Linked DNA regions of Ovis aries. The protein of the gene in region 2 interacts with the protein of the main gene of each other region in a pairwise test. Links are inferred from orthologs where the notes say so. Each region holds a gene or a part of one and is shown on either strand. Other genes may lie near its edges. The genes, in order: MBNL1 and DAB1.

Evidence for each region.
Region 1: the proteins of DAB1 (region 2) and MBNL1 interact in binary tests that used the Homo sapiens proteins (3 or more experiments, as listed by UniProt). The link is inferred for Ovis aries from reciprocal best matches to the Homo sapiens genes DAB1 and MBNL1.

Annotation. Positions count from the first base shown.
Region 1 is NC_056054.1:236,119,803-236,123,629, forward strand, and holds part of MBNL1 (muscleblind-like protein 1), read right to left. Parts: intron 1,652-3,827; coding exon 1,481-1,651; intron 422-1,480; coding exon 311-421; intron 1-310. UniProt on the Homo sapiens protein: Mediates pre-mRNA alternative splicing regulation. Acts either as activator or repressor of splicing on specific pre-mRNA targets. Inhibits cardiac troponin-T (TNNT2) pre-mRNA exon inclusion but induces insulin receptor (IR) pre-mRNA exon inclusion in muscle.
Region 2 is NC_056054.1:31,626,093-31,629,919, forward strand, and holds part of DAB1 (disabled homolog 1), read right to left. Parts: intron 1,329-3,827; coding exon 780-1,328; intron 1-779. UniProt on the Homo sapiens protein: Signaling adapter of the reelin-mediated signaling pathway, which regulates the migration and differentiation of postmitotic neurons during brain development.

The DNA.
Region 1 (3,827 bases), about 200 Mb from region 2:
GTAGAACAAAGTATCTCACACCAAGGAAAGATCTTATATCAATTAAAGCATTAGCCATGCCAAGGATTTATCACATCTTTGAAACCATGTGAGAGTCAAGTATAAGAGAACTCTTGTCCTATATTTTACGCTACAAAGAAAGAGAAGACTTTTTTTAAACCAAATGGAAATCTTCATGCTATCCCCACACAGACATGTGAAATTAACAGATGTCACAAAAACAAATTTAAGATATCATATTGTTAACTGAGTTCCCAATAATGGAAAAAAAAATATATCAAGTGAAAACAGAATTATAACATTCTCTCACCTCAACTGTATAGTATTGATAATTGGTATCACTGCCGATTGGATTTGGAGATCCCTCCCACCTCGAAATGCAATCCCCCCCTCTTTTTTGGAATGATTGGTTCATTAAGTTCTAAGAGAGAATAATAATTACATTGAGTTCAGGTGTTAAAATTTATTAGGAAAAAAAATTAGTTAGCACACATGCTACAGTTGCCATATCAGAAAAACGTGGGTCTTCACGTTTCTAGGACCACATAATATTGCATATTAAGTCAGTGACAGCAATATTCCAATTATTGCAAATTTCAACATGCATTTAAATACAAAATTACTATATCAAAATTAATACCAAAACATCTTTTGAAACTTAGTTATGATATTAATCTCTTAACATTTTTGTGGATAAGTGTGAGTAAAGGTTATAAAAGTCATATGTCACGTATACCCTCCCCCCCAAATTCAAACAAAAAAATAAATAAATATGCCTAGAATCATAGGTTATCTACCTACACTGTTCAGTAAACATTAAATCTGTGTGACCACCTAGAGTTTATAAAATTTAGCTTTTTTCCCTAAAAAGTCCATGGAGTTTCTGCCTCTCCTGATTAGTTCTCTGATGAGACTTCCAGATCTATGATATGGATTCACCACTGTCAGAATTTTCCTAGCATCTGTAACTACCAAATAGTTTCAATTCATAGTAAGTTTAAAAGAATAACGAAGGCTCCTTTTCAAGAAAGAACTATATAGATTCTCTTTAATGAGAGAGGGAAGGGAAACACTTACTCAAAATTAAAGATGATTTACACCGATTTTCAAAATGACTATTAGTGTTAAAAAGGTAGCCTGAAAATGCACCTAGACTATACTGATGAGTTTAATGGTCATTTTTAAAAAGACCATTACACATCTGCAAGTCACAGGATTTAATTTGAAGAGAATTTGAGGGGTTAAACATTCTGTCATGTCAATTTTCACATGATTTAGCCAGAAGATGAGTAACTTTATCATGTAAAAATTGTTCCTAGGGAAATTGTTTCCAAGGTTTGACTGATATTTTTGCTGGAAAATGCTAGGCAACTGATATTGTTACCTGTGCTCACTTGATCTAGTGTAATCACCAATTTAACACTGAAACTGAGCACTAAGCAAGACAAACTTGAGGAATGAGAACTAAGAACATACTTACCACGGGTTGTAATGGGGCACCAGGCATCATGGCATTGGCTAGTTGCATTTGCTGGGCCAACATGGCCATGTTCTTCTGCTGAATCAAGTTATTGCGCCCATTTATCTCCAATTGTGTTTTTAAGTGTGGGGGTGGATGAAGATATTTGCAGTTCTCCCTGGAGCAACGACCCTAAGTAATGAAAGCAGAAAACATCATCTTAAAAAAATAAAATCTACAAATCTTAAAAAAAAAAATCATAATAATATAAACCTATCTTGAATCTACCATGAGTCTTTCACACAGTGTATTATCCAATGACTTTATAACAGATTTGAATAAGTAATCAATTCTATCAAAATGAAGTATTAAGACATTTCAAAAAAGTTTCAAGCTTAGAGAAGTTCCTGTATTAAAATATTAGCTTTAATATTTCTAGATCCAAGTTTAAAAATCTACAAACTGCTAGGGTAATATTAACACAGAATATCAAATAAAAATCTTAGGCTCCTTCCTTAATGTCTCCTGGCCAACTTTAACGAACCCAAAAGAATCATGAAGTTTTACCATCTATTTTTACTTGTACTGAGTTGTAAGGAAACAAACTTACAGGACTCAAGGCACACTGTATCTTCAGTAAAACACCTTTACACATATCTCATAAGTTAAAATTACTACTAAGCTTTATGAGTCTAAATATTAAGAAATGTATAGATGAAAGGGAGGAAATTCCTACATATTTCCTGCTGAATACAGAGATCAGCAAGCACAATGAAATATTGGTGAAAAAATGCAGCCTTTAACCTTTCAGCAATAAATCTAGTCTCCATTACCTAAGAATTATAAAACAACAGGAACAGATATGTTTACCCTTCAAAAACTTATGGCATAAAATAGAGAAACAAAATAAGTTACTATAAACTAATAAATATGAATATGTTTGTTTTGGGATGATTCTTCTCATCAAAATATATATAAAAGGCTGTATTATGAAATATTGTCAGGGACAGACCCATTTATTTCAATACAGTATTGTCAAGTCATATCGATAGCAACTTATCTCATTAATTATTACCTCATAATCTCTTTCACCAATAAATTTAGTTAGAACTGTTTGTGAGGGTAAAAAAGGACTTAATTGAAGCGATCAACCACTTTCTTGAACTTTCTTTGATTTTTCTAAGAAAAATCTACCTGTTTACCATAATTTGACCTTGTACTGTAAACTGACTCAGAAAACTGATGTTTGTGAGAAAATCTGTCAGAATTCTAATTTTAATGACCTATTTCTGGCTTATGTTGATTAAGTTTTTTGGAATAAGTTTATCCACAGGCTAATATCAGAGGATACTACCTGCTCTGTTAACAAGCTTTATGTAATAAAGCATTACTAATAATATTTCAAGTTAGGAGGCAGTGGAGAACCGTGGACAAGAGCAAGGACATTACAGGTGTCAGCACGTGGGGCAGAGGTTGAGCTCGATCACTCATCAGCTACATGAGCTGCATAAAAAACTAACTTCTGTAAGCCTCAGGCTTTTCATCCACTTCAAAACTGCTATATAACCTACGTGCATGTGTGCTAAGTCGCTTCAGTAGTGTCCAACTTCTGCGACGCTGTGGACTGTGGCCCACCAGGCAAGAACACTGGTTCCAGGCGATCTTCCCTACCCAGGGATAGAACCCCAGTCCCTCATGTCTTCTGCATTGGCCCTATATAACCTACGCTATAGAGGGAAACCCTATATCACCTACGCTACACAGGGAAACCTTATATAATCTATGCTATATAGGGAAACTCTATATAACCTATGCTATACAGGGAAACCCTATATCACCTACGCTACAGAGGGAAACCCTATATCACCTACGCTATACAGGGAAACCCTATATCACCTACGCTATACAGGGAAACCCTATATAACCTACGCTCTACAGGGAAACCCTATATAACCTATGCTATACAGGGAAACCCTATATAATCTATGCTATATAGGGAAACTCTATATAACCTATGCTATATAGGGAAACCCTATATAACCTACACTGTAAGTTTATTTTGAAGATTAAAAAAGATAATGTATATGTTACATCCTCGGCGCTGTCCAGCACTCTCAGAGGAACAAGGGGAAAGTCAAAAACTGCTGTTACCACCACCCCCAGCACATTTTAAATTGTATACACATTAGCAGAAAAACAAAATATTGGCATGAAAGTAACTTTTATACCATTTATCACAGTTATCGATACATTCACAAGTAAAGTAACATGTACATATCTCTGATTTATTCCATAGAAAATCACCATGCCTGATACCTGTTGAGATCATGAGCACGTTATTAGCTTAAAAGCATCTGGATGCAAAACA
Region 2 (3,827 bases):
CTCTGAGGGTTGTGATGTTTTAGCACCTGTGCCACTGAACGCTTTTTATGATCCTTAGCCTGAGATAGTTGAGGAAACTGAGACACAAAGAAATAAAATGACTTGCTCATTGGCACAGACCTAAGAAGTAATCAAGCTGCTCTCTGGAGTCCTAGTCCAAAGTGTCCTGCTACAACAACTTATTTTTTTTTTCCCCTTTGACTATGCGAAGCTTTGAGCCAAATTCTGGCTGCTGCTCTACCTGTTGTGGGAGGCTTTACGACTGCTCTATCTCTGGCCTGCATTTTCTCCTGATCTTAATTTTCTAATTTTTTTATCCTTGTTCCTAAAAATTTTTAAATGCACATACTCCATTCAGTTTTAGTTCAATAAGCCATACCCAAAACTATGTATCAGAGCTGGGATATACATACATGAACACATGAAGGAGCAAATGAACAAAAACGGAAGAAGCAGGGTGACATGCTAGACAAACAACAGGCTTGTATTCAATTCGACCCTTTTGTCTATTTTCTTTGTCTTTGAATCTCACTTTCATTATCTTCAAACAGGTCTAATGAAACTTTCCATAAGCATTGTTAGGAGTATAGAAATAACACATGTAAAGCATGGAGAAGGTACATATAACTGGCATCTAATAATGGGAGGCTATTGTTAGCAGCAGTAGTAGTGATATAAACAAAGAGGCCTGTTGAATGCAACTGAGCTGGTTTCTCTGACACCAGAAACAAGGCATCAGTTGTTCTCAGGGGTTTATGTCTCCAGAGAAGGACACTCACGTGAGTTGGTCGATGGCGTGGTAGAAGTCACAGGCGTCAAGTTCAACTGGGAGATGTCAAAGTCATCACAGTCATCCGTATCCTGTGCCACCCCGACTTTGTTGAAGTAACTGGAGAAGGCCTCTGAGGTGCAGGTGAGGGAGGGCTGGTCGGGTTTGCGGGAGGGTACAGGCGGAGGCTGGGCCATCTGGAAATCCTTAAACATTTCTTTTCCCATTTTCTGCCTGGGCTTGTCGGTCTGTGGACTTGACCTGGCGGAGTCACCCGTGGCTGGGACGGTTGCAAGGGGGGTGAGGGGACCTTGGAACATGGCAGCTGGCAAAGGCATAACAGTTTGTGTGGGCATGAAGGCGGCTGGCGGAAACTGCCCGGCCACGGCGGGCCAGGGCTGCTGAGTGGCAGGGAAGAGACCCGGCTGGCCCCATGCGATGGGCTGAGCCCCCGGCATCACCTGAGCGACTGGCGGCTGAGCACCCATGGCGATCTGCTGTTGGACAAGGGGCTGCTGGCCCCAGAAGGATGGGAGGACGGCGCCCATAGCAACATAACCTGCAGGTGTGAAAAAGAAGAGTCAGGAGCCCTGGGCAAGAAGCATTCAGGGAGTCAAGTGATTGGCAGGAAGGTATCAGGTGACTACTCAGAGTCAGGCTGTGTGCTAGGATGCAAAGGTGAGTATGAGGAAGTCCCTGCTCTCCCGGGGTCTGCCTTCTACAGCTGTGGTCAGGAAAAACTGCTCTAAGGAGATGACTTGTAGGTAGAAACTAGAATTCAGTGAGGGAGCAAGCCAGGCAGGCATTTGAGGGTAATAAAAATAATCGTATAGTTCTCAGAGTAGTTATAGTCTTTCCATTCTTAAAGGTTTCTGACATCATACAGCTCAGGAACCAGTGTGCTCAGTGGGAAGGGCAGAGTGCTGGAAACAGGCACATCTGGGCTTGAATTTTGCTTCCCCTTCCTGCTAGACTGAGGGCATCCCCATTGCTTCTGCTAAGAGTCAAGCTCTTTGTTGCAAAATTGGGCTACAACATCTTCCTTCTCCACATCAAAACCATGTGCAAGATGATTGAGACCAAGGTTAAAATTCAGACTGCCACTTCTTATCTGTGGAATCTGGGGAGAGCTTAAGAAGGTCTCTAAGCCTCTCCTTATCTGTAAAATGGGCAGAAAATACCTTCTGCCTCGTTGGGTTAAAGACTGAGATTATACATTTAAGATATAGAGAACTGTGGCTGACATAGAATGAATATTGAGTAAATGTTAACCATTAGTATGATTTGAATCACAGCCTATAAAATTACTTAATACCTTCCTTGATATGTAAAAAACATGCAATAAAAGGTAGCTCTAGGGTATTATTATATATTATTGTTATGCCAATCTTAGAGATTAAAAAATGTAGCTTAGTAATCTATTTAGGAATACCACATATAGGGGCACAGATGGGTCACTGCAAAACTCCAGGGGGTGTGCTCACTTACATTACCATAATATTTTGCTACAGTGAGATATAATCATTTTAAAAGGAGTACAAGTGATACTCTATACCATAATAACAGAATCAACATAAATTCCACTTATTAAGTGCTTACAACATGTTAGGTTAGTATTAGGTGCTACGCGTCTTCACAAAATCCTTGCAGGGTCGGTATCATTATCTCCATTTTAGGGATAAGGTGATTGGTGCTCAGAGAGGAAAAGTAACTTGCACAGGGTCACACAGTGGACATTAAGCTGAAATCAGGGTCTGAACTGAGGTTATCTGTCTCCAAAGCCAGCATTCTCTTCACTGCCCCCTACTACCTCAGCCAAATGGCCAAGGCTGACTTCTGATCTTAACACAGTCCATAAAGTTGGTCCAACCATCAGATGTTTTAGCTTACTGTGGGCCTGGAGGAGACTCCCATGTCCTTCCAGGGGTTCCCACCCTTCTCAGGGTGCAATCAAGCCCAGGAGACAGACGACCAGTCCAGGCAGAGTAGAAGATGAAGACTGATCTCTCAAAATAAGCATTTTTATGGCTGTCAGAAGGAATTTGCAGGCAGAGAACGGTGAGAACAGGAAAAAAAAGAGGGTGGATGTATGGTATCCTAGCAGCTTCCAAAATGACCTGGGTTGTGTTGATGACTGGTGAACCCAGAGAAATGACACATGGGCTGCCTCACCCATGCGCTAGCCTCTGATCCACCTGCCCTTCAACTGATTCATAAGAGAGGGAGCCAACTTTCAAAGCCAGTCCATTTCCTTACAAGGTGAGAGGAGGCTCCAGAAGGGGTGGACACAGAAACACAGGCTTCCTGCTAATTAATTGTGTTCAGTACTTTTATGGAATGAGGCAGGAGTGGCAACAAACAAAACAGACAATATCCTTATCAGATCACCTTGGTCCTAGTGCAAGGAAATGAGAACACATACTAACACTCTACTTTTCTTCTCTGAGCACCTATCACCTTATCCCTAAAAGGAGATAATGATATCGGCCCTGCAGGGATTTTGCCAAGCACCTAATACTATACCTAACATGTTGTAAGCACTTAATAAGTGGAAATTATATTGCTTCCGTTATTATGGTATAAAGTATCACTTGTGCTCCTTTTAAAATCATTGTATCTTTCTGTAGCAAAAAGTGAAGAGGCTTGGTGCTGACAGCTTGCTTAGGTTGCCTGCCATAGAATAATACAATGACTTGAATGTAACAACAAAGAATTCTGCAACTTCGCTTTTCTTATTTTCCCATTGACTTTGACCGGGTTCAATGGGTCTTGGTGGGAGCTCTACTGCCTCCTAGGGGATGATTAGAAAATTCCTGGGGTGTGTTTTGATTGTCAGGAAAACTTGGTGGGGTTGGGGGCAGTACTGACATTTAAGGGCCAAGAGCATTGAACTAGACCTCCTATAATATGGGAGATAACGTGCATGACAAAGAATTTGTGATTATTTGAGTGTAGTTTGAGTCATGTGGAAATTTAAAGTTTCTTTGCACAGTTTTAATTCACTTAATTTTTCAGAAATGCATACACTGGGGAAGATTATACTTTTGTTTCTTTGGAA